Linked DNA regions of Danio rerio. Each later gene encodes a partner of the first gene's protein in a complex. Links are inferred from orthologs where the notes say so. Each region holds a gene or a part of one and is shown in the gene's direction. Other genes may lie near its edges. The genes, in order: wdr48b and usp46.

Region 1 (3,835 bases):
TCAAATTTACTGTCCTGCCCCTATAGATGTTTTTTTGTCATTTGTAGCAAAGATAATATACTACATACTTAAATACATAGAAATGTTTATAGGTTTAAAAAAATCTAAATATTAAAAACTTTTAAGAATTTAAGCTGCTGATGATCGTTAAATGTGTCTTAACAGGCTTGTGAAAATGGTCCATAGCTCTATTTGGGGAAAAAATTTACATCATTTTACATTGATTAGGATGATAAGTGCATATGCATTAAATATAATAAACCAATCATAAGCATTGATAAAAACAGCCGAGCAAAGATATAAATAAAAACATTGACACAGATTTTCTGGGAGTCTAGCAGTATTCAGGTACACAAATTGAATAATGAAATGTAAAGTAGCAGTGTTGTCTTCATTGTGTGTATATATACTTCAATACAGTTAACCTTTCTCAAAGTTACAAACATTATTTATTGCGCATGAATGCTTTAAAATGCTTTAAATGCTTACACAATCACACGAACACAATCAACTGTGGTTCCTGGTCATCTATAATCCCGCTACAATATTGCAGGTCCTGCGATGTGACAATTGCAGATGTCCACATTGCGATATCGATTACATTGCTTTTCTTGTGAAATTTCCAATACGCTTGATGTGTCAAAATGACCCTCTTCCTATTGAAAAAACAAAAGTTGGATCCAAGATGGCGACTTCAAAATGGCCACCATGGTCACCACCCATTCTGAAAAGTTTGCCCCTTCACATATACTAATGTGCCAAGAACAGGACATTATGTCACCAACCATTCCCATTTTATTAAGGTGTATCAATATAAATGGCCAACCCTGTAGATATATATTCTTGGATTACTTGCACATTACACAGAATCCAAGTATACATGTAAAATATTGTTGACAAGGCAGTCTAAAAGTTTAAATAACAAATTTTTATTCACAATATTTTGAAGTGCCCACAATTTCAATATTGTGCATGTTCATTGTCACGATATATTGAATTATTTATTATCATCATATGTCTAACCTGGTGATGTGGTTGTGATTTATGCTGTAGGACTATGTCAAAGCTTTAGCATATGCAAAGGACAAGGAACTGGTGGCATCAGCTGGGCTGGACAGGCAGATCTTTCTGTGGGATGTGAACACACTGACAGCTCTGACCGCCTCCAATAATACAGTCACCAGTGAGTAAATGCTAAATCATCACTGTTGACACCATCCTACTTATTATACGTTGAGTGAGAAGAAACAGAAGATTCTGAAAAAACCCATTTGCTCTGTAGTGAGTGCACTATCTAGTGTTGGTGTAATTGGTCACAACGTAACTAGTTAATGTAATTAAATGACTTTTCCATTTGAAAAATTTATGTAAGAGGTTACTATTTTACTTTTAGATAATTTAATTTACTGCTACCTGTTTAAATAATGTAAATAAATCAATTCAGAGAAGCAGAATAATTGTGGTTTTTGTTATACAAATATATTTTACAGAATAATTATATTTTAACTAAATAAGACTGTTTATCAAGACAATTGAATAAGCTTAAGAAAAAAGGAATTGAGCAAATTAGTATAAATGTGGCATAAATTTAGAGAATCAAAGGATTTGTGTATATTATATAAAGATATTTTGCATCATTTAAACTAACTAAAGAATAATTGTACATGCTTAAAGGGGTGGTCCACTACGATGTCCTATTTTAAACTTTAGTTGATGTGTAATGTATCTGTGTGAACATAAACTGCATCTCTGAATGTAAAAAGCTCAAAGTTCAATGCAAAGGGAGACCTTGGTTTTTACAGAGTTAGCTTAGTAAAGCCTACTATGAACAAATTTTGGGGACTACAAAAAAATACTTCGCCACCTGTAAGATTACAAACATACTTTTACCACGCACAAACACTGCGCCAGGTAAGGGCCGTGGCCAGAGGCGCTGTAATGTTATAGCAAAGAGAGCTAAAATGCATCCCAGCGCTACTGTTTCCACAGAGCTTCGTCTGTTTCTGTATTTGGTCTTCCAAAGGAGACGACACACAGACAGAAGTACTTACAGTTCAATATTAATTATGTTCCAGAAAATTATAAAACACATAGCAAGCATGATTTGACAAAACACAGCTTCCAGAATCTCTCCCAGTTCAGTGCTGGATTTGGTTAAAATCTCCTCAAAGCAGAAACTGTGAACTACAACCTGTAAGTGATTTTATTTGTTAAAATTGATCATGACATGTTCAGTGTATAGCGGTAACGGTATGCTGTAGCAACGATGTAAACAATGGGAAATGCTGAAACCGAAACGATTTGGCTACAAATTCATATTTATCAGTCAAACTGCTATAAACACACACACACACACACACACACACACACACACACACACACACACACACACACACACACACACACACACTTTACCAGCACGTGCAGCACCTCTCTATGTGTGTGCGCGCAAATTTGCATTGTTTCTCTTTAGGCAGCTTTTCCATGTGTTTTACATCTAAGATAATGAAGTCGCAAAAGATATGTGGATGATTTATATTACTTACACCTGCATATTTCGCATATATGTGAAAGACGTCGTGTAACATGCTGAGTTAAAAAAATACAGGAGAGCTCACCTAACTCGTGTAGCAGCAGAAAAATAAATCAAGGCTCACACAGGTCTCATCCCACATCTTGTGCTTTATTCTTCTGTCAGCAGTGTCATGATATATTACAGAAAATAACTTAATCCGAGCAAAAAAGAAAAAGAAAGTCCCATGCACACGTTACACACATCTACAGAAAGTACAGACATTCACGCACACACATAGACACATGCAATAGCGATGTCTCATCATAGGTATCCAGAAATTGTAAAAAATAAAAGAAAATATAAAATACTATAAAAATAAAAAAATTCCATGCATAAATAAATACGGAAATTACATTATTGACTCAAGGACATTATAAGAGCAATCAAAACAATACACTCCTAATTGTGTTGTATGCCATCCAAATGAAAACTGATGAACAAATTGATTTATTGCTTTTCAATTACAAATCAATTGTGTATTTTTTTTAAACCCATATTGTTACACTCGATCAGCACTTTTTTTTCTTTTTTCATAAACTATATACATATGAAACTGTGAGGATGGTACTTATAGCACCTTAAATAGTAACTTTTATTTGTTTATTTTTAAATAGGTATTGTTGTTTTCATTATTTTTCTTCCAAAAAAATAATACATAAAATAAACAAAGAAAATGCACATCTCTCTGACTATTGTACATTCTATAGCAAGTCTGGCCTTAACGGGAGAATATATTCTACCCATTTTCTCCATGTCTCATTAAGCTCCACAGTCTGTAAATGGTGATTCATTGTTAGCCTCCACATCTTATAGATATCACAAGTTATTTCAGACCAGTCACTAATTTGAGTTGCTTTGAGCTGTAACCATTATTCTGTTATGGCTTTGTTACAGGCTTTCAGCAAAACTTTCATCATTTTTTTCATCAGATTTTTCTTTTAGCATAGGATAATTGAGACCTAAGTATAGAGTTGAGAAAGAAAAATGAATGGGGGTATGGAATATAATCTCTGAACATTTATGAAGTTCTTTCCAAAATGCCTGAATTTTTAAACATTTCCAGAATGTGTGTGTATGATTCGCTTCATTTGAGCCACATAGTTTCCAACAGACTGCATTTTTGTTTAAGTATCTCTTCTGCTCAGGGGTGACGAAAAAACTTAATTATATTTTTCCAGCCGAATTCCCTCCATACTGAGGAGGATGTTGATTTCCACTGTGCTTTAAAAATATTTTCCACTCTTCCCTAGTAGTTTCAAT
Region 2 (4,434 bases), on another chromosome or scaffold:
TTTAAAAGATAAAATCAATATTTAATCTTGACTAAAACACAAACTCGCTTTGAAGAACAAACAGGGAAGAGCATGCAACATTTAATGTAATTAATTTTGACTTTATAGATGTGTGGATTTCATGCTTTGTTTTAGATTTGTGCAAGGGTGAACAAACACCTTAGAACCATCACAGAGCTAAAACTCTTCCTTTTAGATATTAAATATATATATTTATATATAAAAAAACACTTCCTTACCTTTATATTTCAGACATTGTAGTAATTGGTGATTTCCTCTTCAGTCAGGGGGCTCAGATGGCCAGTCTGTAAAAATAAGTTTAACATTAGGCTAAACATTAGCAAGTAGACCGCTAACTCACCACGTGCTGTGTAGAGAACACGTGGCCTTTTAATAATTAAAAAGTTACTAGTGTTTAATACTAACCTTAACGTGACTTAATAAATGCATTGCTTCATTATTTAAAAGATATTTATTATAAAAATATTTACCAAGCCTTAAACACTTCTAGAAAGCCCACTATAACTGTTCAGGTTAAATAATTAAAACATTTATAGTCCAAGTTGCAAATACAGGAGTAAAATAAAACATAGAGTCTATTTAACTAATTAAAAAATACAATACATATGTGCATTAATCTGAGTATTTAATCTCACCAGAGGTAATTTTGCCTCCGCTCATGTTTTCTGTGCCTGCTCTCAGGGATTGTGCAAACGGAAAAGAAAGAACACGTGTGACCGGTGCGAGGAATTCTGGGACTTTTAAGGGGACCGCCTCTAAATTCATTTCGCCTCTTCAGATGATTTGGGGAGTCAATCTGATCTGATTCACTCTGATGATTCAGACTGATCAGCAAACAAAACGTTCTGACCGGTTTTGAGAAAAGAATCGACTCAGTAGAATCACACACGCTATTTTGCATGGCTGCACAGCACACGAGGCAGTGTTGTTTAAACTAGATAAAAATTAAGATCAATATTTTGTGAAAACAGACCTATTGTCATACATTTTGTCAGAAAAGTAAAAATAAATTTACTTTATATCTGCATTATATGTGCATTCTTAGGGGCTTGTAAGTGGAAATGGTTGTTACTTGATTTAACCCCTTTATCTATCAAATCCAAATTCTACTGGCCACAGCGAATTTATCAACTGATGTTCTCACCATTCATTGGTCAGTTGACCTGTCCATCAACTGACCAGCGTTTCGTGTCGTACTCCCCAAACGCACCAATCGGGACTCAATGGGCGGGGTTTGACCGCTAATCCAGGATGTGAATGTTTCGTTTAGGACGTGCAACTGGCAAAGATGTTTACAATAAGTTTATCCAGCATTTTTATTCTCATTTGCAGTGGCCATGAAGAAAACATCTAGATGAAAGCCGCCGACGTTTATCTCACGCTTTGTTTGCACTTTGCATGAGCGGCGGGAATTGAGTGGTCACTGATTGCTGTCCTCCGTTGGGATTGCAGCTTGGCCTGTCAGTGTTCCGCTGTTACAATCATGTTTATTTCATAAAGATGGCAACGAGAGGCACCTTATAAACTAAATGACTGTCAGAAACATCGCCTCCATTTGTAATATGGTAAGTAGAAGTGTTTGGATAGCATGCTGGCTAGCTCTTACGTAATGATGATGGTTGAATGGCTTTCCTCAAAATCAGGTGCATGACCTCATTTATGAGCTGATGCATGCTTGGATCACTTCTCAAGTAAATGCAGCTATCATAACTAGACGTGTTTGCTTGCTCATGTAATAAACTGTGACTGAAAGCTTAACTGCCTAAAATGAGTTTTACAGTCAGTGATTCCGCTTTGTTTTGTGATAGTATATGTAGTGTGAATCTTGTCATTTTAAACAATCAAGCAATCTCAGTGAAAAATATCTGTACTTTTTTGTTGCAGTAGCTCTTTCTATATACTCCGTATTTTCTAACATGTAAATAGCGTATTCATTGTCTAGTCGTTTTTGATTCTGACGTCATTTTGAATGTATACGAATATTAAACAGTGCTGCAGGTTGGTCTACATACAGAAACATTTTAACATTTGTTTTGGAGTTGCCCATTATAGCAAGCCGTTTTGACATTTATTCAACAGCCCGTACTAGTATTTATTTTTATGTTAATAGTACTTACTTTGTAGATACTACAGTAGGATCTTTTCCATTAAATAGTAGTGCTTATTCATTATACTAGTGCTTATTTGTTGGACACTAGTGGTGCCTATTATTTAGATACTAGTACTTTTTCTTTAGCTACTATTGTCTTTTGTAAATTTACTAGTACTTATTCATTAGATACTAGTTTTTATTCATTAGGTCCTAGTACTTAAATAGATAGGATGTATTAGATACTAGTACTTATTCATTAGATACTAATACCTATTAAATAGATACTAGTTCTTTCTTATTAGACACTTATTAATTAGATACTAGTACTTATTTTAATAGTGACTAGTAACTATTCTGTTGTTACTAGTAACTTTTTTTTCCCATTGATTTCTATAGGATATGTCATTGAGATATCGACTATTCAGTTTTGACTAGTGTGTATTCCAGCTGGGACTAGTACATATATTTTTTTTATGTACTAGAAGGTAATCATTAGGTACTAGTACTCATTAATTAAATACTAGTACCCAATTAATAAACAATAGTATCTATTTATTATCTACTAGTACTTAAGTAATATATACTTATACCTAGTATATATGGTTACTAGTCACTATTAAAATAAGTATTAGTATCTAATAAATAAGAATTAGTATCTATTTAATAGGTACCTAGTATCTAATGAATGAGAGTATAGATATATACATTAGATGTTGCCTACCCTGCTGTTGTCTATTAGAAGGAATGCATCAGCAGAGCCGCCATTTTAGTACAGGAAATGAAATGAATGCGGGACCAAGATGCAGTGAAGGACTGTGGCCATCCAAAGCCAGAGATATATACACGTATATCTCTGATCGGGAGTTTTTCCGGTTGTCAGTATGCAAATATTTTTTTTTTTAATTACAAAAATTTAATTTTACATCTTTTTTCCACTGCATTTTCGGCATTGCCGACAAAGAGTATATGTTTGTGTGCATGGAAATGTATTATTCTCTCTCCTTGTTTAATTTGGTCTATTCCGCGTCCTGAAACACACCCCCTCATGCTTTCACTTCTCATTCTAACGGAGGGAGTAATTCGTTTATGGGATTCCGTTATGAACGACTCGTTCCCTTGGCTGACAATAATACAAGTTTCTGGCACTGCAGCAACTTGTTGTCATATTTCATAACATTGTTTGCTTATTTTATTCAACAAAACTAGCATAAGCCTAGTATTTAGTGTGAGTTGGTGCTCCTTTGCCCTATGGTGAATGTAGTAAGAGACTATAATAAGATAAGAGAGTATTATCATCATCAATATTTGTTAACCACAAAAGTTCATAACATAAAAATGTAAAAAACTAAATCTTACGTATTAAATGTTTTGCCTTAGTGCTTTGTTTTCTTTGTTTGCTCGTTACTACACCCGTACACAGCGCTAAAGTCCAGCATCTTCACATTGGCACACTGTCTTGACCACTTCTGTCCTGGGAGCACTGTACAAATGTGGCGGCGCTATTGACGCATACTCAGGGTATGCGATATCTAGTGTATATATATCTATGATAAATGAGTACTAATATCTAATTAAAAAAAAAAGTGTCTAATAATTAAGCACTAGTATATTTTTAAAAGCAATAAAACACTTAGTATCTAAAGAATAGGCACTAATACCTATAAATAAGCACTAGTATTTAATGGAAAAGATACTAGTATCTAAAAAAATAAGTACTAGTAGTAGTAACATAAAAATAAATACTAGAACAGGCTATTGATTAAATGTCAAAATGGCTTGCCATATGTAGTTACTTTTTGATGGATTTCTGTTTTTTATTAGAATCAACGTTATGTCCAGCTTTCAACTTTATTTTAAAATGTTTTTTTTAAACTTTTTTTTACATTCAATAGATCACTATACAAAGAATATTTATTGATCAATTTATCACTTCTGTTGGTAAAAGTCAGTATACAAAAGCCATTATTTCTTATTTTAAAATCAGACTTTAAGCTGTTTATCTGACAAACAAAAAAATCTGTTAAGTATTAATGAATGCAAACATTTACATGTTTTTATATATTTTTTCCTTTCGTTGTCGTCATCCCCTGGCTTTTGTATATTGTTCTTAATTTTGAATTGTCAAAAAAGTGCTACTGGTCAAATGAGCAGTTACTGGGTCCCTCAAACACGTAATATACTGTAAAAGAAACCACAATTCATCTGAATATGTCTGGTTCGGTACGGTGGCACAATGGGTAGCACAATCGCCTCACAACCCTAGCTGGCTCAGTTGGCACTTCTATGAGTTTGCATGTTCTCCCCGTGTTTGCGTGGGATTC

The links.
Region 2: the proteins of wdr48b (region 1) and usp46 are in contact, whole or in part, in a crystal structure (PDB 6JLQ), measured with the Homo sapiens proteins. The link is inferred for Danio rerio from reciprocal best matches to the Homo sapiens genes WDR48 and USP46. Residues at the interface, in NP_065890.1 of Homo sapiens: Arg50, Trp77, Asp118, Tyr119, Lys121, Leu137, Arg139, Ser170, Tyr172, Thr188, Asp211, Asn212, Lys214, Ser230, Gly254, Trp256, Arg272, Ile364, Leu424, Lys425, Gly521; in NP_073743.2 of Homo sapiens: Arg181, Leu183, Asn184, Cys185, Glu186, Thr187, Cys222, Ser223, Glu224, Lys226, Cys232, Cys233, Ser234, Lys235, Gln236, Glu237, Gln239.

The regions. Positions count from the first base shown.
Region 1 is NC_133177.1:53,176,399-53,180,233, forward strand, and holds part of wdr48b (WD repeat-containing protein 48), read left to right. Parts: intron 1-1,053; coding exon 1,054-1,183; intron 1,184-3,835. UniProt on the Homo sapiens protein: Regulator of deubiquitinating complexes, which acts as a strong activator of USP1, USP12 and USP46. Enhances the USP1-mediated deubiquitination of FANCD2; USP1 being almost inactive by itself.
Region 2 is NC_133195.1:25,683,136-25,687,569, forward strand, and holds the start of usp46 (ubiquitin carboxyl-terminal hydrolase 46), read left to right. Parts: upstream 1-1,524; 5' UTR 1,525-1,550; coding exon 1,551-1,586; intron 1,587-4,434. UniProt on the Homo sapiens protein: Deubiquitinating enzyme that plays a role in behavior, possibly by regulating GABA action. May act by mediating the deubiquitination of GAD1/GAD67.